Linked DNA regions of Lonchura striata. The protein of the gene in region 4 purifies or fractionates together with the protein of the main gene of each other region. This does not show direct contact. Links are inferred from orthologs where the notes say so. Each region holds a gene or a part of one and is shown on either strand. Other genes may lie near its edges.

Region 1 (6,852 bases), on a different chromosome or scaffold from region 4:
ATTGTTTGAGCCTGATGGCCAATCCAACCCACCTGAGGCTGGACTCTGGTCACAAGTTGGGTGAGAGTTAGAGTCAGAGAAAGTATTATGTAGTTTTAGTATCCTCCTTTTATATAGTATATTAATGTATTTTAGCACAGTTATAATAAAGAAATCATTCAGCCTTCTGAATTGAGTCAGACATCCTCATTTCTTCCCATTGGGTTCGCCTGCATTTACGATAGCCAGCCATCCTCAAAGGCGGGTTTCATCAGCTCAGACAGAAAATGATGCACGTTTTGGGGATGCTCAGAATGCCTCATGCTTATCAGTGTCTGATCATTTTGCTGTCAGGTAATTGTGTGATCTCTGTGAGCTGCTGTGCTTGTGTGACTGAATGGGACTGAGATTACACAGAAGGAGAAATGTCAGCACCTACAGAGCAGCAGCTTTTTGGAGTTACACGTTTGCAGTGTTGTGAAATGATATTTGGAATAAATAGTTCTGAAATCCATTCGCTTCAGAGATGAAGCCAAGTTAAGAACAGTTTGTACAACTACTCGTTTCCACCCTCAGGCCACACTGTTGCTCTCGGAGTTGAGCCAAAATGCTGCATTGCAGTGCCTGCCAAAATGAGGTTTGTCTGCCTGCCTTAGGCAGAGTTGTGGTTTTCTGGAAGGTTTTTTGTTTGTTTCGTTTTGGTGTTGAGGGGCTTTTCCCTGTAAATGTCTCCTGATTGGGACAGCTACGTTATTTCTCTTCACTCCTTTTGTTTGGAAGTACCTGCAGAGTTCATATGGTCATAAAGTTCCTTAGTTCATACATGGAATATTTGCTTCTCAGTCCTGGAAACTGGAGTGGGGTGGGGGAAGAACACTAAAATGCAGCAGTATGACTAAAAACATTTTCAAAAACAAACCAAGAGGCTTTAACTTCTGCTGAGGAGGCTGTGAAGTGGATCTAATGACACTTGATCTATGGCAAGCTTTTCAAAAGCAGGTCTCCAGCAAATCCTGGAGCAATGTTTTGTACAACACAGACAATTTTAAGCCACAGCTGAAATCTCCAAATGGAGACTTGCAAAGCATTTGTAAATCAGAGTTAAAAAAATGAAATAACTCTGTTAAGCAAGCAGCTATCTGTCCCAGGAGAGCAGGCAAACCCAGGAAGGAGAACTAAGAGCAGCTGTGGGTTGACTTTTCAGCACATGATGCAGCTGCAGCCTGATGCTTGCACATCTTTTCTCCATCACTCAGACAAGGGTACGTTCATTACAATGTGCCAGCACTGAAACAGCAAATCCCCTGTGATGTTTGCAGTGATGTGTGGTGTCCCCACACCTGCCTTCAGTGCTTTTTTTCATGTTTTGCTCATGTCAAGAATGTGATCTGAGTCTTATTCCATCAAAACTAAATTACCTCAAGGCCTGACTACATTTGCTCAGTTCTCTCGATTTCCCACACGTGCCACTTGCTCTCACTCACACCACAAATTATTTTTGGCATGTTGTGCCAGCTCTCCTGAATCTTTGAGGTCAGTTAGTGTAAAGGTTTTACTGAAGAACAGTTGGCAAGTGCAGTATGAGGAGCATTGTGGCAAATGTAGAAAATCTAAGGACAAAAAGTTCTTGAGCCCTTAAGAGTTATGCTGAACAAACAGTGCTACAGAATTTGGTTTAAAAACTCTTAAATTTGTGCACACAGATGCCAGGCTGTTGGAAATTTTTCTCTGAATGTGGACTGACTGAACTTCATGCCCCAGATATGGGTGCTGCTTAATACACAAAAATAGAGACAGCAGAGAAAACCCAAAATGGTAATTAGAGCTAATTGAAAAGAAGGAAAAAACAGATTTGAGCATTTCTTTTTAACTAACCACTGCTAAACTGTTTCTGTAGAATGATATCCTGTAAACTATAAATGGATGTAGTTGGAAATAACATTACATTGCCTGCCATTGCAAATAAGTGTTTAAGTTAATGATTACTTGATTAATTTAATAATTTCAACTTAGGTATAAGATGGTATCATAAACTATGTCCAAATAATTATTGTTAAAATCATCAGAATGAAAAAAGGATTTATATAGGAAGGAGGAGATGAATCTCAAAGGAAATTTTAGAACAGAGCATCTAGACAGAGCTGGTCTATTTTATAGCCTCCTAACTTCTGCTGCCGATATTCTACTTTGATTTCAAGACACCTGCCAGTTTTAGAGCTGTTATTTATTTCAAAGCTGGTATTGTCAGATTTTACCAGCAGGTTTGCATTGCTGGATTTAAACTGTAAGTATTTCCTCCAGTACTCAGGTAAATCTCAGAGAGTCGCAAGATATGCAGACAGCCCCCTGAATCTCAGGCTTTGCATCACTATGTATTAGACAGAGATCAGAAATTCACTATTCTGTCTTGTTTGCCTTTTGGGACTCTCTCTTAGAGGTCAATAAATGGATAAATTTATATCTGAATGCATTGCCCTTGTCACACCAAAACAACAGATCATGACGTTGTTCATAACTGCTTTCTCAACATAATTTAGCAGGTATCAATTCAGGTATACTAACACAAAATGTTGTATTTTTCTTTAAAAAACTGAGCTGAAGACATCTGTCAACACGATGCCTTTAATCACCAGACGTGTGACCCATGATTTTCCTCTGTCCATGCTCATACAGAGCATCCTGAGGGTCCTTCAGTTCACACAGCGAGGCTCAGCCGAAGGGATTCTGGAATCCACAGAAATGTTTAAGCAATTTTTCATTGCTGCAAGCCATGGGTAGATGAGTCCGATACTGTTGAGCAGGAGAACAGAGAAGCAGCACTGGGGTGCTCTAAGTGGCCTTCCAGAACTGCTGGGAACCTTCACCAAAGACAATTTACAAGAGCACGTAGAGACAGAACACAGGGGAATGGCTTCAAGCTGGAAGAGCAAAGGTTTCTGTGAAAAACGCCAATCAATTGGTTTTTAAAATTTTAAAAGTTTAATAATAATAAAATGGTTATAAAAGTAGTAATACAATTAGAGTAATAAAGTTTAGAGTTAGGACAATTACAAGACAATAAAAAGTAAAGAATTATGGACGTCCAGATGCTCTCGGACACTTAAGTCATGAAAAGCATAACTTGTGAACAAAGGAATAACCTTAAAAGCAATAGCCTGTTGCATGTTCATATATTCTTTATGGTTATGCATACATTCTATTTAAGACAAGAACTCTGTCTGTTGTATGTCAACTGTTTCCTTTAATCCCCAAGGTGAATTTGAGTCTGAGCAAGGCCTGAAGAAATTAGCTTCTTCTGATAAGAAAACCATAAATCCCTTTTCTCTGGAAGATTTAGGTGTTCTTCGAAGCGAGTATCTCATTCCTAAAAAAACCCAAAAAAGCTCCCCCCACATACATAGTCTCTATTTTAACATTATTTTAAAACCTAAAACTAAGAGAATTAATACAGCATAACTTTCTAACATTACACATATTATACTCATTGTAACGTTTGCGAAAAGCCAATCATAAAACACGAATTTTTCACAGTTTCCAGTCGGTATGAGGTAGAAATCCTCGCCTGTGAGGATGGGGCGGCCGCAGGTGCTCTGGGCAGGCTGTGCTGAGGCCGCCGCATCCCGGGCGCGCCCAAGGCGAGGAGAGCCGGGGTTGCGGACACCTGGGCCGGCGGCAGGAGGAGGAGATGCTCTGCACGGCCCCGCGGCCCGGAGCGCCCCTCAGGGCTCCGCCATTTGCTGCGGCCGCGCGCGGGGCGCAGGCGCGCGCCGCCGCGCAGGCGCGGTGCCTCGGGCGGGCCGTGCGCGTGCGCGGCGGGGCAGCGGCGCCGCCCCGGGCGGAGCGGGCGCGGGCGCTGAAGGGGGGGCGGCCCATGGGGCCGGTGCGGCCGTGAGCGCTCGGTTCGGCTCGGTTCGGCCCGGCCCGGTCCGGGGACAGCCCCGCCGAGCCATGGACGGACACGGCGCTCCGGGCGCGGGCGGCGAGGAGCCGCTGAGCTCCGGCAGGATGAACGCCAAGCGCGGCGGGCGCGCCGCGGAAGAGGAGAGCCGGAACAAGCCCAAGCTGGTGAGCGGCGGACGGCCGGGCTCGGGCAGCGGGAGGAGGAGGCGGAGGCGGAGGGAGCGCGGTGCGCCGCTCCCCGCGGGGAGCGAGGGGCGCGGGCAGGCTCCGTGCGGGCTGCGGGGCTCCCGCCGAGGCAGCGCCCCGAGGGCCGGGCCGCGCTGCCGTGCCCGGGCCCTGCGGCTTCGCGGGGTTCCCCCGCTCGGGCGGCGACAGCGACAGCGACAGGGACAGCGCCAGGGACAGGGACAGCGACAGGGACAGCGACAGCGACAGCGACAGGGACAGCGACAGGGACAGCGCCAGCGACAGCGCCAGCGCCAGCGCTGCCCCGCAACCTCTGCCCCGCTCCGCCGCACAGCCGGGGCGCGGCTGCCTCCGGCTGAACAATCCAGAACGCCGCTGGTCAGGATGCCAGCCACGTGCTTGCCAACCTCTCACTTCATGGGAAAATTATTTAGGAAGCTGGGTGGTGCCTTATGGTTTTTAAAAGTAAATCCTTTTTAGGGCTGCAGTTTGTTCGTTATGGATACGCTCTTTGATTTTTTTTTTTTTTTTTTTTTTTTGTACTGGCAGACCTGATAAGTGAAAATACAGGCGGAGTTCAAGGCAGCATCACTGGGTTGTATCACAGTTCATAAATGCTGCAGTAGCAAAACCAGCTAATGTGAAAGTGTTTACCATTATTGTTTACATTTGTTAGTTGCACGTGTTGAATCTGCCCAATTTAGCTCAGTTCTGGGTTGTATTTCCAAGAGCAACACTGTAGCAGGCACTTAAAACACCCCGAGTCTTCTCCTGGGAGAGATTACTAAAGTTGCAAACTTTATTTAACCTGTTGCAAGGGCTTTCCCCGATGCAGGTGAAACTGAGTATTGAAGTTTTCCCACCATGTGTTCCTTTTAGCGAGTATCGAGCTTGCAGATAATTAGCCTGACAACTGCAGTTTGGGTTCTTGTTGTTTGTTTGGGGCTTTCTCTTGTTTTGTTTGTTTTCCTTGTGCTGAGCATGAAGTTAGCGTTTGGGGAAGTTGGTGAATATATAACACTGAGGCATAGAAAAGTTACTGAAAGTTATCCTTGTTTCAGAGGATGACAGTTTCATGAATGACTTGAACTGTGCTTGTATTAAAAGTGACGAAGTGTATCTTGGCAAAAGATAAGCAGATGTGGTGTCTTGTTTTGTTTCATGGTGTTATTGGAAACAAATTCATGTTTCCTTGCATAGGATAAACTTTGTATAAACAATACTTTTGGGTCTGTTTATAGTACCTCTACTATTTCCTGCTAAAGTACTGAAGAAGGCTGCCTGGAGATTCCTGCAGGGAACTGATTCAAAAATCACTCGGGGAAGTGCTTCTGTTGGAAGCTGTGAACATAAATTTGAATTTTGCTCTAGCAGAAGAGAACTCTGTTCTGATAGAAACACATAATTTGAAAAATCAAAGTGAAATGAGCTCAAAATTGGATTGAACAGGATGACTATTTCCACTTCATGGTCTATTCAGCTATTCTAAAATCACTAGAATAAACTTTCATTGTTCCATTGAGTGGGAAAAAAGAACATTATGTTAATATTTGATTTCATTCAGAGCAGTATACTTTTGTTTCTTGAGGGGGTGGATGATTGCAGTCCAGCAGCACCCTGGATCAGAGCAGGGATATGTTGCTCAAATTAGAGCCTTCAGAAAGATAGTTTTGCTCTGTGGGGTAAGTGAATGGTCTTAGATGATATAATTGAGTGAGTGGGTTGAATAGGAAAGCAGATTTTTTTCACTCTGGACATGATGTGCAAAAAATGGTGTATAAACCTGACATGAACTGAGATTTACTTTGAAGGAGTAAGAAGGGTGGGATTCAGGTGTGCTTTCAATTGAGGTGACTGGACAGCCAGATTTATCCATTCCTACCACGGGTTTGTAAGGGAAGAACAAGCCTGTAATCAGGGAAAAGCTTCATCCATTATACAGGAGAGTAATCCTATGACATTTTGCTGCCTTTAATTTGAGTGAGGAATTGCTTCTGGAGCTGGCAGTGTCTTCAGGCACTGGGAGAGCACTCTTAGCTGCACCTCATCGCTGCTCTCTTCTGTGCAAGATAAAGGTGTGTTTGGGACTTGGGGCAGGGAAGCTGTTTGTGCTGTGCTGAGTTGTCACTGAGCTCATATACCAAGTTCCTCACAGCTGGGTGTGGAGATTTCCTTGGTTCATCTCTGTAACTTACAATTCATCGGGTTTCATTGGAGTTACAGAGATGAATCAACCTGCACTCCCTGTCATGTGTTGGGTGTAATTCAGGGAGCTCAGTGTGCTGGCAGGACTGTGCCTCCTCCCAGAACTCATTTCACACGTCAGGGGAGTGCTGAGCAAGGCTTTGCTGGGAGAGGGTGTGCAGCCACACACAGAGGAGAAAGTATTTTAGGTTCCTGGCACAGGAGCTGAAATTAGACAAATCCTTGGGAAGAAGTCCAGAGGAATGATTTTTATGTGATAAAAATGGCTCTAGGTGACAGAGGGCTAGGAACTGAAGTCATTATCCCGAGGGAAGGGAAACTAGAATAGAAAGGTGGAAGTTTTTGATTTCCCTGTTCTCTTCATCTGAAACTAAAAGGTGTGCAGTGCTGCTTGGCCTGCAGAAGTGTAATGGTTTGTCTGGAGGGGGGTTTAAGGGCTGCAGCTTGATCAGTGGCACTTTTTCCTGATGGACAGGAAGTAGGACTGGGCTGTTGAGAGAGAATCTGTGCTGGGAAGGAAAACAATGCTTTAAAGTATTTCTCTGAAAGACAATTGACCATATACACACACAAATAATTAAT
Region 2 (7,742 bases), about 49 Mb from region 4:
TGCTGAGATTTCATCCATTGAGAATTTGCTCTGGTTTTTTTGGGTTGTTTTTTGTGGTTTTTTTTTTGGTTTTTTTTTTTGTATTATTGTTGATTGTTCGGTACCTTTCACAGCAATTCAGTGCAAGTCATCTCTAGGAATAGGGAGGAGAAAAAAGACCTGGGCAAAGTTACAGATCCCTAATCAGGAATGGCTTGTTTTCTAGCCATGAGAGAGTCTAGGGGAGAAGAGATAGAGCCCTCCAGCCACCCTGAACAATACATGTTCCTCCAAACCCAGCATCTGAGGCTGGCACAAGGCTGTGGGTGAAGCCTGGCACTGGCAGGACATTCCAGGGAGGAAGATTGACCCTTGGCTTCAGCAATCAGGAGCTGAGTGTCAGGAGTCTGCCAAAGACACGCCAGGTACCAGCAAGATGATCCAAACCAGAGCATGGCTGCACGTGCAGCATCTCACAGGAGACAGGCAGGAGGATGGATGGCAAGGGAAGCACGAGGGCTTCTGGCAGTTGCAGGGACCAGTGCAGAGGGGATGAAGGCAAGGACAGGAGCACAGAGAGGGGTGGGGTGGAAGGCCCTGACCAAGCTACAGAGATAATTTAAAGCTTCCTACACCCCAGCACACTTACAAGTGCTTTATATCTCTCTGCCACTCATCTGAGCCATCTCTTTCCCACAGGGCATGGAGATCTTTCAGGTGAAGCAGCCAGGAGAGGCTGTGCTCTCCCAGCATCTCCCAGCAGAGTAGGTTTAGACAGGGCAGGGCTGGAGCAAGACCTTGTTATAACTGCTTACAGTAGCTCTCAAAATCTGCTCTCCAATTATGTCTTACATTTTATATTTCTTAGAAAGACCAGCTGGGTGGGCACTGAGCAACTTGGTCTAGTGGAAAATGTCCTTGCCCATAACAGGGGTGCTGGAACTAGATTATCTTTATGATCCCTTCCAACCCAAACCATTCTATGATTCTGTAATATGATTCCATTATTTTACCCTTCTCTGAACACACTGGGAAAGAATTTGGTTGCTTGGGCTCCCAATATCCCCACCTCCACCAAGGTACAGCTCCCTGGTACACCATAAAGCACTTATGTGCATGTGATTAAATGCCACTGAAGCGGATGGGAATTTGCTTACAAGCAAATTACAAATTCCTTACAAGCTTAAGGACTTTGCAAAATCAGGGCCTAAATCCACTGAGTCTTTGCTAATGCTCCCAGCCCGCTGAGTCCTGCTTTGGGAATGTGTCTATTTTCCCTTCTGGGGCTATGAAATGTTATACCAAAGCTTTGCCTCCCCTGCCAGCTGCAGGGAGCTGATGTGAACCCTGGGGTGAGATTGGGCTCGGTGCTGTTGGAGATAACATTGGTTTAGGGTGTGGTTTGTTTCCACACAGAACATCCCAGCCCAGATACAGAACTGCTAAAGGTCTTCTATGTACTCTAAAAACCTCATATCAAGCAACAAAAAGCATAATGCTGTCTCCTACCTTTGAGCCAAAACCAGCCCTGATTGCTGTGATGGAAATATTCCCACAAGCTCCAGTGGTCTGGGATGGTTTTAGGGGCTCAGATGGTGATTTTGTTCTTTTGGTGCAAGTGTTTGGTTTAGATCAGAACAACGATTAAATAAAAGCTGTGGCCTCTATTTCTGCTGAGCATATAATCTGTGCAACGTGAAAGACTATAACCTCGAGAGGGCTTTTTTCCCTCCAAAATCAATTTTACTTAATTTTTGTAAGGGGATGGGTTCCATATTCCATTACTGTCAGCTGAATCAAGTGTCCTTTTAGGTTTCACTGGAACACATAAAAACTCCTCCCCAGAGATAAGGACAGTATTGATCTGACATGGATTGGTCGCAGAGAACATTTATTAGGGTCTAGTGAGCATCTAAAGATGAAGGCTACCAAGTATATTCTTACAGATTTAGAACAAGAAACCCATTTTCTTTCCCTCAGCTCTGAGAAAGTCCTGGTTTAGTTTTTCATCCAAGGAGCAAACCCTGCTAACCCCCTCCTGTTACAAGGATTATTTTCCAAGCAGGCTTGGTACCCATGCTCTCCCCTTTTCAGGGCTGGATGCTCATCAGTCTTACACGATGACTATTGCATGTGTCCTACTTATCCAGAAAGGCTATGGGCAGCTGGTTATTGGGTTTTCCTGTCTGAATAGAGGAGCTTAATTTAATAGGCGGCTGTTGGAAAAACAAGCAGGAAAGCAACACAATGGGGCTTGATAAGCGGCATCCAAACAAGCTCTGAGGAGGCAGCTACAAGAAAATGGCTGAGCAGTTTTGATGAGGAAGATGCAATTCCAGATGCCAACCATTAAGCTGATACTTAGCCAGGCTGGGAGCCTTGCAGATCAAACCATCACTATGTGGTTAATGAAAGTCCTTGAGGAGGAAAAGAGTGGGAGAAGGGGGGTCCTGGGAAGGCATTTTATGGAGAAAAATAAGATGAATGGAAGGGCAAAAGAAAAGCTGTGCTGGGATGGAGGCAGGGACCATTCTGCTCAGCATCCTCTCATAGCCAATGGTGTATGATAAGCCAGGGGTATGAGAAGTGTTCAGGGATATTTTCCCATAAACTCTCCAAGTCCACAGCAGGCTGCATGCAGCTCCAGGACTTCCTGAGCCTGAGGCTTGTATAGAAATACTGGATTGAATAGTCCTGGCCTAACCCTTTACCTCAGCGAAAAATGCTCCCTATCTTTGATCACTAGTTCTTTGGTGAGAACAGAGGCCAAAGCTGCTCACAGTATTCAAGAGGAGAGCAAACCAGGAATTTGTACAGCAGTTTTTCCTCTTACCTCATTAACTCCTATCTGTCTATTTGCTTTCTTGACTGCTGCTCAGCAGTGAGCTGATGCTTTCAACAAATTCCTTGTTATAACCTGGGATCCTTTTCCTGAGGGGTTGCAGTCAGTTCAGAGCCTGTTGCCATGTGCATGATGTTAGGAGTGCTCCCTGTGAGGCTCATCACTTACATTTGTCTCCGGAGAATTTAATTTGTCATTTTGTCACTGCACGTCCCGAGGTCCCGCTGTGGTTTGGTGCCTTGGGCCTTTCCAAGCAGCTCAGTGTCACCAGAAGCCACCACCACCATGTCCCCTACTCCTACATCACTGATGAAGATGCTGAGCACAGGCCCCCTGCTCAGAGCTCTGTGAAACTCCCCACCTCATAGCTCCAGTGCAGACTGACCATCCCAGTCTGGCCTTTGTGGTTTCTGCCTATAAACCACTGAGGTTTTTTTCATGGCTCCTTACTCCCCTCAGTATGTTTTGATGAAGGATTTTGTCAGAGCCTTTAAGAAATCAATATCTCTTATATCCATTAGATCTACCACATATTTGGCTCCATCAAGGACTGTGGTAGATTTTGTGAGTTATAATTCCTCTTGCCAAAACTTGTGCCTGGGTACAGATATTTGTCCTCTTGTCCCACCAGTTTCACAACACCATCATTGCATTTGCTGCTCCAGATAACCTGCCCTTGACACCTTTTATCCCAAAACTGCTTCTGTGATTGCTTCAACACCCAAAGGGCAAGAAATCAAGCAAGGCAGGCTGGAGACCAGCGTGGCTGAGCAGAGACCTGCTCCTCAAATTGAGGAGTGAGAAGCAAATGCTCAGCCAATGGAAGCAGGGACAGGTGACCTAGGAAGAGTACAGGGATATGATTTTGATGTTTAAGGATGGGGTCAGGAAAGCTAAGGCACAAATGGAAAAGGCCAAGGAGAACCTGGTATAGTGGAAGGTGTCCCTGACCATGACAGGAGGGTTGGAACAATATGATCTTGAAGGTCCCTTCCAACCCAAGCCGTTCTGTGATTCTGTTAATTTTACACCACATTTTGGTATCAACTCTATGGATGCTTTCTTTACTTTCCCAACACTGGCTTCTCCTTTGTCCCTGCATCAATTTTTGTGCAGACTCCATATGAAACACAATCACAGTAAATCTCTTCCTGCTTTTCAGACCTTCCCATATAGTTGTTGCCAAGAAAGAAAAAAAAAAAATATTCAAGATGTAAATAGCTTGACTTCTTCTCCAAAAAAAAAAAAAAAAAAAAGAAAAAAGTTTACTTAAGGTAAAATGTTCCACGCTATTAATTTGATCTGAGTTTTGATTTGCACCAAGAACACTAACTGCTCCTTCTTCCATCTCATACAGCGAGGTTATTCCCATGCATGTGGGAATCCAACCGTGTATCCAATTGCTGCTCTGATTCACGTGAAATGGGAACCTCTGGAAAATTGATTTCTTAAATCCAAGCGGAGACTGCCGCATCTTGGGAGGCCTCTGCCAGGCAGCTGCGACACAGATCCCGCGTGTCCGTGTCGCCAGCCGGCTGAAACTTTATCCTCGCCGCTCGGCGGGAGCGGGACCCTCCCGCCTGCCCCCCGCCTGCTCTGCAGCACGGGCAGCGCGGAGCGTCCCGCTGCGGTGTCCTTGGAGCGGTGCCCTCGGCGCGGTACCGCCGGTGCCGTACAGCCTTTGCGGCACCCCCAGCACCGTACCCTCGGTGCTGTACCGCCGGTAGCGCCGCCGGGGCGGTACCCCCGGCAGGGCACCGCCGGTGGCGGAGCCCCCGCCCCGCGCGTCACCGCGAGTCCCGGCGGCGGGCGGGCGCTGACGCCAGCGCGCCGGGCGGGGCGGGCGCGGCCCATTGTGGGCAGGGGCCGGGCGGGCTCCGCGCCGCGCAGCGCAGCGCCGCGCCGGCAGGTACGGCGGGCGGGCAGCGAGCCCTCCGCCCCGGCAGGAACGGCGGGCACAGAGCCCTCCGCCCCGGCAGGAACGGCGGGCAGCGGGCAGCGAGCCCTCCGCCCCGGCAGGAACGGCGGGCACAGAGCCCTCCGCCCCGGCAGGAACGGCGGGCAGCGGGCACACAGCTCTCCGCCCCGGCAGGAACGGCGGCCGCGCTGCGGTGAGTGCTCCGAGCCCCTCGGCGCTCCTCCCTTTCGCTTTGCGGGGCTTTCGGCGGAGTGTGTTGCCCTTCTCCCGTAGCCCGCGGCCGTGCTGCGGAGGGGTTCGGGAGCACCGGGAGCCGGCGCTTTTCTGCCTTTTCCTCGCCGTGGGGAGGGAGGCGAGCCCGCGTCCCACCCCGCCCCGGGCGCTGCGTGGAGCTGTTGCCCCGGGGGGAGCGCCCGGGCCCCGCGGAGCCCGCTCCGCTGCCGGCGCCCCGGAGCACGGCGGGTCCCCCGGAGCACGGCGTGTCCCCCGGAGCACGGCGGGTCCCCCGGAGCACGGCGGGTCCCCCGGAGCACGGCGGGTCCCGGGCGGTGCCCAGCCCCGTGGGCGCCGGGCAGGGGGCGCCCAGGCGGGGGCGTGGGATGCGGGATGCTGCTGCTGCGCTGCCTTCTCCATGGCAACGCCTCCGGAGGCTGCTGCATCCCCGGCGCCGGCTGGCACGGCGGCTCCCACCCCTGCGGCGACTCCCACACCACCGGTGTGACCCCCCTGGTGGGGCTCCCGCGGGCTTTGGGGAATCTCAGCTTCGTGAGTGCCTCCCCACAGGCACGGCTGTTCGGGGCTGCCCCATCATCTGTGTGTGCCAAGCCTCTGGTGCTGGTGTCACACATTTTGCTGCAGGCGTGCTCTTGTCCGGCCGATGCTTTGATGTGGGAGTAGGATTTTGGCATGTGCCGGTGTTGGGCTATGGCTTGGCTACAAGCATGTGTATGGCTCAGGCACCAGGTGAGGAGGTCCGGTCTGTCACTGGCTGCACCCGCCCAGAAATTCTGGGAGGGAAGATTCTGGTCAGGGGTCTCCCTGGAGGAGGGACAATGCTCCTGCTGCATGGAGCCTTGAGGGTTGGCTGCCATTGCTGTGCTGTGGCTGTGGTCGGATCCTGGTGTTTTACTTGGCATGTAGTCTTCAGTGTGACCAGTGGGGTTTGGTCCCTGGGGTCTGCAACCCTCATGGCTTTCACACCACGCTGCCTCTTGCATTGGTGCTGGTGTGAAACAGTCTTTCTGCATCTTTAAGTGATCAAGGTTAATTTAAGGCACAGACAGATGATAATGTGACAATAATGTGTCAAAAGCCACGTGAACCGACAGGGCTGTGCTTGCCAAACTGGGGGCAAGGGGCTCCCCGTGGAAATCGGAGGCAGGTGGAAGATCATGGGGTGCAGCCAAGTCTCCTTTTGCAGGTGCTGGGGAGAGGGCAGTCCATGGCACAGGCTGTCCTTGTGGTTTTGACCAGGCCTGAGCACTGCAGATGCCCGGCATTGTACAGCCAGGCAGCTTCTCCTGGCTGCATGGAGAAGGAGAAGCCATTGGTTTTCTTTTCTCCCTCTCTAGAGGTTGATTCTGATACTGTGTACAAAATCAAGTGCTGGTGTGTATTAATGCCTCAGTGGTCAACCGTAGTGCAACCTCATTATCCTCCCTTGCCAAAAACCAAAACCAATGTATTCCAAAGCTATTGGCATTCCCTGCCTGCCCCTCTTTGAGTCCCATTAGGAGTAGATGTGTCCTGCAGCATCTGGACCTCTTTCCACGAGCACTGGAGTTTGTTTTGGCGTGCGTTTCCCCCCAAACCCGCAGGTCAGACATCCACCTTGCTGTTCCTGGATTAATGAGTGACTCACCCTGCTCTCCCCATGGCCATATGCTGGGACCTGCCCTGCTCTGTCAGGAGCAGGAAGCAAAAGCCAAAGTCCGCGATCTCTGACCGCCCAGTGTGGTGTGACACCGGGACAGGAGGAAGCAGTGACACTTCCTGGCTCTGGCCAGCGCTCAGCTGGTGTGTGGCTCTGCCGGTGCTGCCCTGACACGGCCCTGGGATTTTTGGGTCCAGCCAGCCAGGCGTGCACCCTGCTCTATGTACTGGCCTCTGCCCCGGGGAGGCAAACAGGATGGGTGAGGTGTAAAATCAGCGCTGAATCCGCTCCCCTGGGCTTGAAACGGAGTCAAACCGGTCTTGACCTGAGCTGGCTCCTTATCTGACCCTTTGTTTGTGGCAGGGGTGCAAGAGGGAGCAGGAACGGTGAGGACAGGCCAGACCAGGGGACAGCTGGTCTAACTGGATTGTGATTATCTCCCTTTGCTTCTGTGCTTTGTTTTGGTTCCTTCCTCCAGTTTTCCCGCGCTGTCATGTCACAGCTGAGGAGCCCAAGGCAGTGGGGACATGGAGCTGTGGGGCAGCTGGGCTTCCCACAAATTTTGTTTGTCAGCCAGCCAGCAGCATAGCTCCTCTTGCTCCATCTTCCTGCTTTCAAGTTTCCATGCATGACCATCCCTGCTGGGTCCATCCCTAAAGGGGGATGCACTTGGAGCAGCCCACCACGTGCCCAGGTTGCACAGTGGTGCATTTACAACCTGAACGGGTTGTGTGGGGATCCTGACAGATGTACCACCCAGAGTGAGTGGTCTGCCCATCCTCCTCCTGCACAGACACCCACTGAGCTGCTCCTACACGGCCACTTTTATCTCTGAAGTATTAATAAAATGAAGCCTGCCTATTTCTGTGAGCCTTTTTAAGAGGCTGGCGGGGCTGCCTGGAAGGCTCGCTCGGCACTGCAACTATTCAGAGCTTTTTTCCGCGTGTGCTCTAGCAGCCGATAAGCCAGGGCATCCAGCTGTCAGCTTTGCAGATTGCCAAAGCCTGCTGAACAGCATTTCTGCAGCCTTCGCTCACAAATGAGGATTTTGTTGGACGCTTTGGTTTCTGACTTGATGCTGGTAATTAAATATCTTAACTTGGCTTCAGAAAGCTGCCACTGCTGTGGAG
Region 3 (7,948 bases), on a different chromosome or scaffold from region 4:
TACATAACAAGTCCTCAAGTCAGATAAACAAAGAAAGACTTTGATAAATCAACAAAAAAACTTGGATCACTTTCTGATTGCTAGACTGGAAGAAGGAGAGGAAGAGAGGGCTGTTCAGGTACACCATCTACTACATCCTTCTGAAACCCAGAACCTTGTGTGCTGCTCACCAACCAACGGAGGTCACACAGCCTCTCCTTATGCAGAGCTGCCTCCCCACTACCACTGCCCACCAAGGTCTGGTACAAGGAAGGTCACTGGGCTCACACCTGCTATTTCAGAAGAATTTAGATGCCTATGGACTATGCTTCACAACTGCAGCTCAATTCAACTGACCTCAAGTGTTTGCTTTGTCCCTCTGTCACAACAGAGAGATATACAGGAGATTTGTGTTATCAGACTTCACAACACTAATATGAATAGCCATAAAATATAGTTGACATTCATATGCCTGTCTGTAAACTCAGATTCAAAGTTAAATAGAAAATAACCCTGAATGGCCGACTAACCTCTGGCAAAGGGACAGGATGAACAGCTGAATGCATCAGCTTCTGGAGCAAATGTCAGAGTCAAAAGTGTATTCATTGTGCTATCCTTCCCATGTCTTTGACAATTCAGGAGTATCAAAGAAGACTGTTTATCAACATTGTTGTAACAGACTATCACAAGCATCCAAAGTCTCAATAGCCAATTGCAAATTTTTGGGGTTCATGTTACTACAAAACACATTTTGATAGGTTGACCATAGCTTCTTACAATAATCTCAAATGATTTAAACAGCTTTTGGTACCAGAAGCCACCATTCAAACTCCTTTCCTAAACACTGACACCATTTCATTTCTGTATTTGTTAAAGTCATATCTTTTAAGAAAGACTATTTTCTACTTCACAGGCAATCAGACTAGGCTTTAGATCCACAAGTGTTCTAGGTAAGGAGGACAAGACAGGCTACTTGGAAGTAGACTTCCTTCCTTCCTCCCTTTTGTTTTGGCTGGAAGCATATTCTATTCTTGTATATCGACTGTAGGCAGCAGCCCCTGTACCCAGGTGTGTTGGATCTGTCTCACAACCTGAGAGGCAGGCAGGGCATTAAGCATCAGCCCAACATGCATGTATAATCTCACTCCCTAGCAAATAGTGAACAGGTCTCCCAGCTGATTTGCATATAGCATGGTACATAGTTGTTGCAAGACCAGTTGCACATTTTAAGCTTTGGAGGGAAAAAAAAAAAAAAAAAAAAAAAAAGAAAGGAAGAAAGAAAGAAAAAAAGAAGATTTTTTTTCAGGCCAGATTTAGAATCGATGTCTTCTGAAAAGAACTGTTAAGAAAACTGAAGTCAATCCTAGGTACATACCAGCAGCTCATTACTTACCAACCTTTACTTCCTCCTAGATTCCATTGTAATGAGAACATAAACAGTAAAATAAGCATATATCTCCCTCGAATGAATTACCTATTCAGAGTTCCCTCTGGTGTTCAATAAGCTCATCATCACATTCAAGGTAACAGCCTTCATTCCAAAAGCGTAAGTTCCTTTACGAGCAAGTTATCATTTGATGACGAGCTCAGCAATAAAGACAGGACCATAGTGTTGTTACTCATAGAGAAAAGCAATATTATTTTCCATCAGAGAGGAGATAAAGATACACTTCCTCCTTTGTATATTCAACCGAGTGTCTGATTAACCTCGAAAGGACCCAAAGTGTTAACTATCCCTTCTGCCTCCCGATGTCACCAAGACCGACGAAATCTCGGAGAAGGCAAAGTCACAAATTACAGGTACAGCCCATCTGAACGCAGCACGCAAAGATGTTCTGCACCTCCCGAATAACTATGCCTTGAGTCACAAGCCTTTCCAGCCTCGCACTCCCATTCGCCTCCACGGAACATGAGCAAAGTACAGTGTATCTAATTAACAGTTTGGAAAGAAAGTTTAAAGCTGCCTCTGCGAAGAGACAAAATGCGTTTGCAGGAAAATCCCAAACGAGTTCCCGAGTCGGCAGCGCCCAGGCGGAGCGCGGGGTGGGCGCCGGGCCAGTGCCAGCCGCGACATCGGGGCTGCTGACCCCGGCCGCTTCGGGGTTGCGAAACTCCCGGGAAGAGCAGCCAGGCTCCATCGAGTGGGGCGGAGGGAGCTCGCCGGACACCGGCGCTCCCCGGCTGCCGGCCGGGAGGAGCAGATTCCCCGCGCCTCCCCCACCTCCCCGCCCTGCACGGCGGCTGAGAAAGGCGCTCCGAGTCCAGAGCCGCCGCCCGGGAGCCCCTTTAACCAAAACCATCTGGTCGCGGGCAGCGCGGTAGAAAGCCCCATCCGCCCCAGCTCTCAGCTTATCCCCGGCCCTGGCCCCGCAGCCGAGGAGGAGAGAAGCTGCTCTAGCCACAACTCAGCAGCTCCCGAGCTGGGGGAGACAGAGGGAAGTCTCCGTGGAATCCGCCTCCCCCCCTCCCCGCCCCATCCCGCGGCGCGGCGGCAGGGCTGGGGCTGCGTTACCTTCAACAGGTGCAGGCGCCGGCGGGAGGCAGCCGCGGGCGCGGACCGTCCGAGCTGCCCGAGCGGCAGCCGCGGCCCCGGCAGCCCCCGGCGGGCGGCGGTGGGCTGGACAGAGGCGCTACGGCAGCCCCCGGCGGCCGCCCATGCTCCCGGCGGGCCCCGCCGCCGCCGCCACCGCGGCCGGAGTCAGCGCGAAGGCGGCAGCGGCTGCGGCCACCTCCGAGAGGAAGGACGAGAGCGGCGGGGAGCGAGGGAGGGGGAAGCAGAGAGCGAGAGGAGAGAGAAACCGCCCCGAGAGAAATAATCATCACACGGCGGTCACGATCCGCCGCCGCGCCCCGACAGCCAGAGCCTACGCTTGGGAGCCGGGGAAAAGCTGCGAGGAGGGGACACACCTGTAGGCGCAGCACATATCCGCTGTGAGCACAATGCGAGACAGGAAACTGAAAAAAACAGCCCAGGGAAGGAGAGAGGCTCCCGTTCGTCCCTCCTTCCCTCCCTCCCTTTCTCCCTCCCTCCCTCTCTTTCTCCCTCCCTCCCTCTGTCCGTCCTCCTCCTTCTCCTCTCTCCACCCCCTGCCCCCGGTCAGGATCCGCTTGCAGCGCTGTCTCATGCAGGGAGATCCAGGCAGAAGGCTGGGAGGCGGCAGGAGCCGCACTTTCTCCCCGTTTTCCTTTCCCTGTCTCCGCTTTGTTTTGCCCGCCAGCCAGGCAGAGGCCAGCTCGGCGAAGCGGGGCCGAATGCTCCCGGAGAACCGGGGGGGCTCCGAGCCCCAACGGGGGACCGGGGCCAGGCCGGGAGCTGCAGCTCCAGCGCCGGGGGCACCGAGCCCCGGCCGCCCGGGGGCCCTCGGGGTGAACAGCGGGGAGCGGCGGGACGGCCGGGAACTGCCTCTGGGCAGCCTCTGCCCGCGGCCGGGGTCGGCGCTCGGCCTCCGCGGCGCTCTCCGGCGGGACGGCGGTACCGCTGGGAAAGGGGCTGCCTGCTGCTCTGTACCTAACAGCCTTGCGGGACCTGTCGGATCCCGGTGGTGTTCTGGGGACGCTCCTGAACACGAAGGCACATTGTAATTCCCATCCCTTATCCCCCGAGCAGAGTCTCTGAGCACCCAGTGGCTTCCTCCCTTCTTGTACACCCTTATCGATGAGGGGCCCAGAATATGTCACTGGCATCACTTTTACTGAACTCGAAGTACTCTAGGGTTTATCCCTATAGGTAAATCCTCTGCAAAAACAATTTCTGCACGTTCTCTCTCTGCTCAAGCACTCTACTAAAAAGCCTGTGTGCAAAGTTTTCATGCCTTCCCCCAGAAACAGATCAACAGTTACTGCAGAGCTCACTTCCCACCTGTTGTGAACGCAGCATCACTGTGCTATAGCATCATCATCTGCACGTTCAGATGTTAAATTTGTCTCAACTATAGCTAATGTAGAGACAATCTATTGAAAGGAGGGATGTCTTAGAAGAATGGCTCAGGTAAGCTTTGGTCAGGATGTTTATACTTTGTAACTTTCCATCAGTGAAATGTGGACCAGCAATGTTTCAAGGAGAAATGAATTTACTGCTCTTGGCACTTTGAGTGCAGCTTCATTAAATGCTGTGTGCGTTGTGCTCCCTACTAAAACACCAGGAGACAGCCGGTCTATACGCCGTGCTTCCCAAACAGGAAGTTGCTGAAAAGTTACCTTTGCATCTCAAAACAGCAAGAGATACAAAATAAATAAAAAACAGCTCCAAAACCCTGGGCAAGAATAGTTGCACTTTTGGAAGAGATGTTAAAAGTGGCTTTCAGACCCTGTCTGTGCAAAGTGCCACTGCAGACTTAACAGTGGGTTGGGACTATTCAAACATGCCATAGAATTTTGTGGGGTTTTCCCTTTGGGCTTGCACAGGGGAGGCAGGCTGTGCTGGGTGAATTTTGCCAGTCTGGCCCAGTTATTGTGCTAACCTCCACCAGAAGGCCCTTGTCCTTTTTTATTGGCTTCCTTCCTGCTCTTCACCTGACTGGGCTTAGTCACTGCAAGATAAGAAAGAACAGGTCTAGTGTTTCAGAAGGTCTGGATTCCCCTTCTGTACCTCTTCACTTACTGGAAAGGAGAGAGGGAATCTGAAGAGGGAGATGGGACTTCCCTAGGAAAAGTGAATTAGTCATGTCCTGCAATTCTTGTGAGGAATCCAGTAAGGAGAAACTCACAGGCTGCTAATGGGCTTGGTAACACCTGACTTTCCAGGCTGCTTTCACAACATCTGGGCTTCTGGCCAGATTGTACCCTAAGTTTTGGCAGAATGCCCTGGAATTACCAGCCTGGCAGCTCTCTTTGTGCCCAGGGCAGTGAATCTCTGCCTTCCATCATGCTCTGCCCCAGGGCCTTTTGCTGGGGTCTCTGTCACTCCTCCCCCTACCCTGCCTGCTCCAAACCTAATGATCTGCTTTCCCTACTCTGGGGAAAACCCCACATCTGCTCCATCTGATGACCACTGACCAGGACTGTACTTGCCACACTTTTGCTGTCTCAAGGTGACTGTAGCCAAGTTAAATCTAAGCCTTGCCCCCCTCCCAGCTCACAACACATCTTCTCGCCAGAATAGTTTCCTCCTGCTCCTGTTCAGCTCCTGTTGCTCTGGCCTCCTGACAATTTTTATTTTTTTTTTTTAATTCAAAGGAAGGGCAGCTCCTAACAATCCCTTGCTGTGCACCTGACCTTGCAAGTGTGACCGGGATTATGAAACTGATCTAGATCTTGAGGTGGCCACACAGCATCCCACCCCAGGATAGCCATCTTCTTTGCTAACCCTCCATAAGCTGCTGTTCTGCCAGGCACATTTGGATGTCCTAAGCAGCAGTGTGGCATATTGACTTGCACTTCTGCCAGCTGGGACAAAAATGTGCACCACAGCACTATGGTTAGTGAAGTCCATGCTGAATTCAGCACTTGGTCCACTTGCAAAGATGGTCTTCTGCACTTCCTTTTCTTGCAACCAGCACACCATCCTTCTGACCCATGGAGAAGGGATACAGGGAGATATTCTCCAGTGAACCTAGATAAACAGCTGCACATCAAAACCTGCTATTTGTGACTGAAAGATTGATTCCCTCCCTTAGCATTATCCAACAAAAAAGAAAAAGAAGAAAAGAGGTCACATCAAATCCTAAATGCGGAGATGCTTAGAGAAGGGCAACAAGTAAAGGACTGAATGATTAACAGCTTCCCAGACTCCTGGGGATCTTCACTGCAGTCATGCACATGCACAGGGTGTGACTCAGGGCAGAATGCTTTGTTCCCTCCCTCTCCAGCTTCAGGACACAGATGACAGAGCTGTGTTTGAATAGAACTCTAGTCTAGATTTCAATTTCCTCTTTATTTCCTTCTTCTGCATCCCGTCTGTCTCTCCTTTCTTTGTTATCACCCATTTGTTGTTACGTGTATCCTCATGATTTTTTTCTTTTTTTTTTTTCTGCATGTTATTTTCTTTTGCACTGAAGGTGACACCTGTGCCTCTTCCCTGCCTGCTTCTCTTCTTTGTGCCGTCGGTTCTGAATCTTTTCCAAGATGCAGCCATAGATGGAATCGTTCCTACTGCTGAGACCTTCAAGGCCTGTGGAAAAGAGCGGAATTTTCAGCTGCTATCATTAAAAAACACCTTGTTCCATGATCAACAGAGCTAATGAAGCCAGGTTTCCTGTGGTCTCGTCGCTGACCCACCCGCTGCGATGGGCTGGTCTCCCGTTTGTGTTCCGTGTCCGAGGTGAAGCGCTCCTCTCTGCGGTCCGGAGCGCCGCGTGCTGCCCGCGCCGCGCCGCGCCGGGCCGCGGCTGCTGCCGAGCACCGCCCCGAGCGGCCCCGCTCCGCCTTCACCTCTCCCTGCTGGAACACTAATTTGAGCCTCTAGTCGCTGATGCTCACAAATCCCTAGGAACTTAATTATCTTTGAGGTTCCTACCTCTTTTATTCATTTGTTTGCAGCTAGCCAATGTGTTCTGACATTTTTATGAGGGGCTGATGGGCAGATAAAGAGTCAGATGATTGATTATCAGTCTTTAGGAAGGAAGGCTGTTGCCCTGTGGTCATGGAGATAACCTGGGAGCAACCAAAACAGCTAAAAAAGAACATAAAATCCTTTCTAAAGTTTTGGAAATTGCACTTTCTGTGCAATTTTCAAAATTGCACGGAAATTACATCCTGCTTGGGGATGTCCCATGTCTCAACTCTCTTCTGACGGGTGAGGGGGAAGAAAGGGGGAAAAAAATATTCTTCATTAAGCAGCAATTCATCAGCTGTACTGGGCAACCATTGAGATTCAGCCTGCCCTAGCACTCCTGCTGCCACCATCCTTTGTAAGAAATTTTTATCAATAATGGGAAAGCAAAAAACCACAAGAACTAGGATACTACCTGAATGGGTTTAGTCTCATGGCAAAGATATAAACAGAGCATCTGTAAGGATTTTTCACTCTCCATTTGATGTCTCTGGTTTGGAGAGGGCATTGCATCTTCTCCTAGTGACTGAAAAAACCCAAATATACATATTTATATTTTTACAGTCCATAAATCACCATGGGATCTACTTTTTCTGTATAAAAATGCCAGATAAATCTAAGGTGTTATTATTAGATTTGTGAAATGTCACTGTGCACAGCCTGATTTTCATGCCCTTTGCACCAAGCTCACATGGCAGATCAATTTGTAAATATCTGGGGTTATTCTTTGCTTGATGGATTTCTCAGTGTCCATTTTCCAACAATCCAGAAAAAAAAATGTTTAGGGGTGAAATTAGCTAAGGTTAACTGTGCAATTCCCTTCATGTTTTTTTTTTCCTTTGATGCTAGAAAATATTTGATCCACCCAGAGCAAGTGGGTTTTGGTATTTCTTAACCAACACTCACTTGATACATTTGTTTACTCCTGTGCAAAATTCTACCTCGTCAAAATTTTTCTTTTAGTTTTACATATACTTTTTATAGATATAAATTGTTGCACAAAGGTATGAGATAAAAAAGCAGCAGGTGCTCTGGATACAATTTCCAGGTGGAATCCAGAGAAAGCCTTATATGGATATGTGCAGTAGCTGTATGCATATGCATAACTATTACAAGTATCAGCCCTTGCAGTCAAGACTAGATGTTCTGACATTGCCCTGGTTGCACCTGGCTGTGTGTGAGCCTGATAAGAGATCCTTGGTTAATGAAGAGGTTCATATAGGCAATGCTTGCATTTTTTAAAGTGATCTTGAATTTTTGAAGACATTTCAATTTAAAAAAACTTATAATAATTAAAATTTTTAAGATTTTCCATCAGGAAGTTTATTGGTATTTCAAAAGTAGGTAAAATGAGAATTAATATAAAATATTAACAACAAATAAGAAATAGAAAAGGCCTTGCCATTTCATTCCCTTCTTTTGTTGTTTAAATAAGCCCTTCACAAACACACATACACACACATCTGTATGTATATAAAC
Region 4 (6,883 bases):
TAGGTATACATTGTATGGTAATATATATATATAAACATATATATATAACTATATATAAGGTTGTAGACCTGTATGTGCAGGACATACCTGGACATGCTCACATACACCTCAACCCAAAATGAGCAGGTGACCCCATCCCAGTGGTCTCTCATCCATCCGGGGCCCATGGTGGGACCCCAACATGTCCCTGACGCCCGCCCGGAGTCCCTGCTGTCCCCAGGCCGTGCAGGGGCTGCTCCTGCCCCAGGGACCCTTCACGCCGATGAGTTTTGTGTCACTTTAATGGCAGAAGATCACCCTGCAGTCACCCCGCGCCACCCTCCGGCACTGGCCTGCCAGCGGGAAGGGGAGCCCCAAATCAGTTCTCTGCCCCCAGAGCCCGGCTGGCAGGGCATGCTGGCAGCCGTGGTGGCACAGGTCTCTGGGATCCAGGCGTGACAGTTCGTGCCAAGGAAAGCTTTCCTGCTGTCCCCCCGTGGTGACCAGCCGTGCCAACCCCGGTCGGGAGGGTGGCAGCGGCATTCCGGTGGTGGCGGAGGCAGAGGTGCGGCAGCAGGCGTGGTGCGGTCGGAGCTCGGGGACAGCAGGAGATCCCGGGGGGCTGTGCCTTGCCGGGGGGCTCAGAGGATCACGCAGACCCTCCTGGGTCCCGCCTTGCGCTGCCTCCGGCGGGCGGCACTGATGGCGGCATGGCAGGCTCTCACAAAGATGTTCCCGACGTTATCCTGGTACCTGGCCGAGCATTCCATGTAGGACACGGCGCGGACCTGCCGGGCCATGGCCTCTCCCTGTGGGCACACACAGAGTCAGACCCCGCCACGGGACCCTGCTGTCGCACTGTCTGCTGCTGGGGACCACCCCTGTCCTGTCCCGTGCCGTGTCACTGGGAGTGACACCCACCTGCTGGCGGGAGACGGGTTGCATCCGTCCGTCCTTCAGCTTCTGCAGCACCTCCTGGTCCTGCCGCAGGTCCGTCTTGCAGCCCACCAGCAGCACCGGGACCCCCTTGCAGAAGTGGTTCACCTCCGGGTACCACTGTGGGGGGACACGTCACCCCGGGATGGGCACGTGCCACCCAGGGATGGGGACAGGGGACAGGCAGCACCCCGGGGTGGCATTACCTTTGTTAGGATGTTGTCAAAGCTGTTGGAGTCGGTGACATCAAAGCACATGAGGACAACGTTGGCGTCTGAGTAGGACAGAGGGCGAAGCCTGTCATAGTCTTCCTGTCCTGCCGGGTGGAGAAGGAAACAATTACATGCCAGCCTGGGACAGTGAAAGTGACATCTGTGGGGATGGCTGTGGGTTAACCCCCCTCTCCCATGGTCATGGGGACCCCTTGGAGGGGGAGACCCCTCCAAGGCATAACCACGAGTGTGGGGCACCCCAAAACGCCCGGATGGGAGAGTGGGGGGCACAACTGCCCGCCCTGTGCCCTCCTGTCCCACCTGCTGTGTCCCACAGGTGGATCTTCACGGGCTTGCCGTCAACCTGGAGGGACGCCGTGTACTTCTCGAACACTGTGGGGACATAGACCTGGCAGGGGACAGGGATACAGGTCACAGTGGCAGCTGTGGGGGGCAGCGACAGAGGGGACCCCAGTGGGGCAGAACAGAGCACAGGGAGAGAAATAGGGAATGGGAATGGTGCTTCCTCCCTGGGGCAGTGGGATGGGACCCACCCTCGTCCCCCATCCCAGGGCACGTGGGGATTCAGGACAGGGGTTCTGGGGTCTCTGTAGCTGCCCCCCTTCCCTGCACTCCCTGAGTCCCTTATGTGCCCTCCCGGAGGGACAAACCCTGCTCCTCCCCATGACTCCCCAAGAGAGAGAGGCGTCACAGGCCCCCATCAGCCCCAGGCTGGGCTACCCCCATGTCCCCATGTCCCACTTCAAACGGCCCCGCTGCCGCCACCGTGTCCGTCCCACCGCCCTTTGCCCGTCACCACTCCCGCACAGGGACAGTGTCACCCACCCACCAGGGGACAGGCATCCCGGTACCTTGGGGAAGTCCCCTTTGGCGAAGGCCACCAGCAGCGACGTCTTCCCGCAGCCGCCATCCCCCACGATGACAGCCTTGACCTCGGTTTCGGAGGCTCCTGCGCTCTGCTCCCCGCGCTCCCGCTGCATGGGGGCGTCCGCTGAGGCCACGGAGCCCGAGTGGCCTCGTTGGGGACAGGGATGGGGACGGGGAGGCGGGAGGCACCCGCCCGCTCCAGGGTGCGGCTGTCACCCGCCCGCCGGGCCCGCCCGCCGCGGGGCTGGGGCCGCGGCGGTGACAGTAGCCGGGACACACGTACAGGTGTCCTGGCACACGGGTGACCTTCTCCCGGCAGGGCCTCGCGGTGCAGAAGCGTCACGCTGCCACCTGCGTGTCCTGCCTGCCTGCGCGACGCTCCCTCGCACTGCTGCCCGCTGCCTCTGGCACACTCTGATCCCCATCCCGCTCCTGATGCCACTCCCCATCCCAGCCCTGCTCGTGCAGATCCCCCTGCACAGCGCAGCCCCCAGGGACGGGACCCCTGTGCCCTCCCCGACGCCCCGTTCCCGCCTCCCAGCCTGGGATTTATTGCCCTGAGCATCCGCAGGAGGCAAAGTCCAGGGGTGGAGTGAGGCACCGGTGGGGGGTGACTCACTGCCCTGGCCCCGCTGTCACTGCCACCCCTGCTGTCACACCCGTGCTGTGCCATGCTGGAGTCTCTGTCCCTGGCACCCAGCTCAGCCACACCTGCTCCTGTCTTTTCCTAGTGATCCCAACACGGGTGGGACAGGCTGTGACACACTGCCTTGCTCGGGGACATGCCATCCCAGCAGTGATGTCCCCCATGCCCCTGTTGGGATGTCCCCAAGACCCTCTCCCCTCTTCTGCCACCCCAAAACTTTGGTGGGGCTGAATGGGTGCTTCTGGTGTGGGGTTGCAGGGAGGGATGTGGGGTCGTGTGTGCGGTCCCCTGCCATTCCCCCATCTGCCACCAGCCTCTCCAGGTTCTCTCAGTGGGTACCAGCCAGTCCAGGAGGGCTCTGGAGCCCCCAGACCAACTGGAGTGAATCCAAAGTGATGGCTCAGGCAACAAATTCCAAACTCTCCCCCAGGCCTGGTGCAGGATGAATCGGAGGAGAGGGATTCTCATGCTGGGAGGCTGGGAGAAAAATGCACAGATGCAGTAATGAACAATCTCAGAAGGATGCCAGCATCGGGGCAGCATGGGGAGAGGAGGCTGGAGCAACATCAAACAATTAGGAAGGTGGCAATTACCAGTCTAATGAGATATCAGGTTGAATCCTAAAAGCATCAAGATTCTTTCAAAGTGAGATGTAACTGCTGCAGTGTTTGTCCTCTGGGTATTTGCTCGGACAAAACATTTCCTTTCCCGCAAAACAGAATTTTGACGGGAGAAGAGGCAGCCTGTGTGTAGCTGCCCAGTGCTCTCAGTGTTTGACCCGTGATTGTGCAGAAACGCCCCAAAAAGCAGCTTTATTTGGGGACAAATAGGCTGCTTGGAGCTTCTGAGGACGTGGAGACCCCAGTTTTCCGCACTGGAGAAGACCGTGGCAAGAAGCACCGGAAGGAGGGAGCTTGCCCTGCTCGGACACACCAACAGGTTGGCCCCAAAGAAAGGTAGGGGGCTGGGACCAGAGTCCAGCCCTGGGCACTGCTTGTTTCTCCCTGGATGTCCCCAAAGCCCCTCTCACCGCTCCCATAGTTGTCCTTAATCGGGATGACTGGATTGATCCAACCCTCCCTCCGCCCTTACCTCACGCCCAGCCATCCCACAGCCCCCCTGTCCCCAGCCCTGTTGTGCCACCTCACCAGGATCCCCCTCCTTGTCACATCCCACTAACCCCCCTCTGCCCTGACCCACAGCTGGGGACCACATCCCACCTTCCACCATGGAGCTGAACCAGACCTCCCCACCTCCCTCATCTCCTGTGATGGACACCGAAGGAGACGATTTCTGTGAGATCGATGTCACCGATGTGGCCATAGGTGGTGTCACACTGCTCATCTGCCTCTGTGGGCTGGCCGGGAATGGGGCTGTGCTCTGGCTCCTCGGATTCCACATCCGCAGGAACCCCATCACTGTCTACATCCTCAACCTGGCCGTCGCTGACTTCACCTTCCTGCTCTTCATGGTCCCCTCCTCCCTGCTCTACCTGCTGGAGGATGTGTCCTGCTCCACTGTCGTGTCCCTGAAGTACCTGAGGTCCCTTCTCCTGCTGTCGCTGCTCTCCTACAACATGGGGCTGTACCTGCTGACAGCCATCAGCATCGAGAGGTGTGGTTCAATCCTCTTCCCCCTCTGGTACCGCTGCCGCCGTCCCCAGCGCCTGTCATGGGTGGTGTGTGCCGTGCTCTGGGGCCTCTCCATCGCTGTCGTGGTCGTGGTGACCTCCCTGTGCCTGTCGCAGGAGCATGAGCACTGCCGGGTGGCTCTCATCTCCATGTATGCCCTCAGCTTCCTCATTTTTGCCCCACCCATGGTCATCTCTAATGTGATCCTCTTCATCAAGGTCCAGTGTGGCTCCAAGAGACGTCAGCCTAAGAGACTCTACATTGTTATCTTCCTCACGGTGCTCTTCTTCCTCATCTTTGGAGTGCCCCTCAGCCTCTGGAATTTCCTGCAGCAGCTCAGCTACACCATTGTGTCCTCCCAGGTGGTTTTCCTTCTTGCCTGCATCAACAGCAGCATCAACCCCTTCATCTACTTCTTGGTGGGGAGCTGCTGGAGGCACTGCTCCATCGTGTCCCTCCAGGTCGCCTTCCAGAGGGTCTTTGAGGAGACAGGGATCACCACAATGTCCAGATGAAAGGCCACTGTGGTCCCACCGGCTGTGCTGTCCGTGCTGGCTTCATGCTCAGCTGTCCACCCTTGCTCCCAGCCAGGCCTGCAGGTCATCTTCCTGCAGCTGTGAGTCAGGATGCATCCCATAGCTTTTCCATCCCTTTTCCCATCCCACTGATCCGTGTTGTTGTGTCTATCCCTATCCTTAACCCTCTCCCCGTCCTTATCCCTATCATTGCATCCACATCCCATCTGCATTCCCAATCCAGTCTTATCCCCAAACCATCCTCATCTCGGCTCCCCTTCCCTGTTCACTGTACCCATCCCATCCCATCCCATCCCATCCCATCCCATCCCATCCCATCCCATCCCATCCCATCCCATCCCATCCCATCCCATCCCATCCCATCCCATCCCATCCCATCCCATCCCATCCCATCCCATCCCATCCCGTCCCGTCCCGTCCCGTCCCGTCCCGTCCCGTCCCGTCCCGTCCTGTCCCGTCCCGCAGGTTTCCCAGCTGCCGGCCGCTCCGAGCGCGATCCGTCGGGCTCTGCTGCCCTCCTGTGAGAAATTTTGGGATTGCCGGCATCCGGACCCTTCCCGATCCCCTCTGACATCCCAAATTCCCCGCCCAGGGCCGCCTTCCCCCGACAGCCCGTCCCCACCCGGCAGTGTGTCCACTCCTGGCCATTCCGCGCTCCTTCTCCCCAATAAACGCTAATGGATCCATCCCGCTGTCGCCTCTCGTCCCTCTCCAAGGGAGGCTGGGGGGCGGGACACCGCGGGTGAAGCTCTGGAGGGGAATGTCCCAGGGAAACAGTCCCCAAAAACCGTATGAGGCAGTTTGGAGTGAGCAGCCCGTGGGGAGGGACTGCAGCCTCAGGCATGGGGCTGGGAGAGATGGGAAGGATGGGAGGTGGGTGGGCTGCATGGGGAGTGGGATGGGAGATTGGTGTGGGATGTGATGGAGCTGGTGGGAAGGTGTGGGATGTGGTGGGGCTGGAGAAAAGGTGTGGGATGTGGTGGGGCTGGAGAAAAGGTGTGGGATGTGGTGGGGCTGGTGACCTCAGCAAAGCCACAGGGAGCAGGGTGATGCCCCGTGGAGCCCATGGTGACAAACACAGGTGCCACCCTGCTCCTGGAAGGGGGTGGCCGTGCTGAGGACCACGGCCTCTTCCTCTCCTTGCTGCTGCACCATCGGAGCCTGCTGAGGGGGCAACTGAAAGGAGTGGAGAGGAGGAATTTCTGCAGGCTGAGAGACCTTTGCATCTGGCTCACAAAATTAAAAACTAAACATCTCTGGGGAGATCTTTGGTTTGACACTCACAGAGCACTCACAGGGAATGTTGAGCTCCTGGTCCATCCTGTCCATGCCAGCTGTGCCAGTGCCAGCCCGGCTCGGGGCACTGGGGATCAAGGTTGCTCCAGGGAGCACAAGCCATGGGTGTGTCCCTTCCTTCCAGCCACATTCCCGGCTGGCAGCAGGAGTCAGGAGAAGCCGGGAAGCGCTGGGAGAGGGGGCAAAGGATCTCGGGGTTCATGGTGCTGTTTATTGATATTAGACCTCAGTGGGATGCAGGACCCAGGTGCCAGGGGGAATGTTGGCATCACAGTGTTGGGAAGGATCCGTTTGGGGAGCAGTGCTCTAGGACCCGTGAGGGAGGGGGAATGTGCTCCCTGCAGAGCATCCCTCACACATGGTCCTTGGCACTGCCTCCTCTCCCTTCTCCTGCAGGAATACAGCACCACAGGGAAGGTGATACAGTGGCTATTTATTAATCAGGCGACTCTGCACCAAGGTCCTTCAGCAGAGCAGTAGAAGGGATCAACAGGCTGAGAAGGCTGTATCCATGGCAGGATCATTTCTGTGGGCAGTGTTTTCTTCTGGCCCCTCAAACACCCTCTGGAGGGAGAGCCGGAGGGACCCCACAGAGCAGGGCCTCCAGCACCTCCCCACCAAGAAGTAGATGAAGGGGTTGATGCTGCTGTGGATGCAGGTGAGCAGGATAACAACCTCGGAGGACACAGTGATGTAACCGAGCTGTTGCAGGAAATTGCAGAGGCTGAGGGGGAGAGCAAAGAGGAGGAAGAAGAGCAC

Evidence for each region.
Region 1: the proteins of RHOD (region 4) and DIAPH2 purify together in Homo sapiens (co-immunoprecipitation; 3 studies listed by BioGRID and IntAct, with this or other methods). This does not show direct contact. The link is inferred for Lonchura striata from reciprocal best matches to the Homo sapiens genes RHOD and DIAPH2.
Region 2: the proteins of RHOD (region 4) and DAAM1 purify together in Homo sapiens (affinity purification with mass spectrometry; 3 studies listed by BioGRID and IntAct, counting the BioPlex papers as one, with this or other methods). This does not show direct contact. The link is inferred for Lonchura striata from reciprocal best matches to the Homo sapiens genes RHOD and DAAM1.
Region 3: the proteins of RHOD (region 4) and PLXNB2 purify together in Homo sapiens (affinity purification with mass spectrometry; 3 studies listed by BioGRID and IntAct, counting the BioPlex papers as one, with this or other methods). This does not show direct contact. The link is inferred for Lonchura striata from reciprocal best matches to the Homo sapiens genes RHOD and PLXNB2.

What each region holds. Positions count from the first base shown.
Region 1 is NC_134616.1:1,747,140-1,753,991, reverse strand, and holds the start of DIAPH2 (protein diaphanous homolog 2), read left to right. Parts: upstream 1-3,845; 5' UTR 3,846-3,927; coding exon 3,928-4,044; intron 4,045-6,852. UniProt on the Homo sapiens protein: Could be involved in oogenesis. Involved in the regulation of endosome dynamics.
Region 2 is NC_134608.1:5,141,531-5,149,272, forward strand, and holds the start of DAAM1 (disheveled-associated activator of morphogenesis 1), read left to right. Parts: upstream 1-4,722; 5' UTR 4,723-4,932; intron 4,933-7,742. UniProt on the Homo sapiens protein: Binds to disheveled (Dvl) and Rho, and mediates Wnt-induced Dvl-Rho complex formation. May play a role as a scaffolding protein to recruit Rho-GDP and Rho-GEF, thereby enhancing Rho-GTP formation. Can direct nucleation and elongation of new actin filaments.
Region 3 is NC_134607.1:30,343,408-30,351,355, forward strand, and holds the start of PLXNB2 (plexin-B2), read right to left. Parts: upstream 3,009-7,948; 5' UTR 2,887-3,008; intron 2,576-2,886; exon of another isoform or gene 2,492-2,575; intron 1-2,491.
Region 4 is NC_134608.1:53,914,342-53,921,224, forward strand, and holds RHOD (rho-related GTP-binding protein RhoD), read right to left. Parts: upstream 2,129-6,883; coding exon 2,000-2,128; intron 1,537-1,999; coding exon 1,449-1,536; intron 1,232-1,448; coding exon 1,122-1,231; intron 1,036-1,121; coding exon 901-1,035; intron 789-900; coding exon 621-788; 3' UTR 502-620; downstream 1-501. Other genes in the region: GPR152 (putative G-protein coupled receptor 152), read left to right, coding at 3,890-4,807; mas-related G-protein coupled receptor member H-like, read right to left, coding at 6,611-6,883. UniProt on the Homo sapiens protein: Involved in endosome dynamics. May coordinate membrane transport with the function of the cytoskeleton. Involved in the internalization and trafficking of activated tyrosine kinase receptors such as PDGFRB.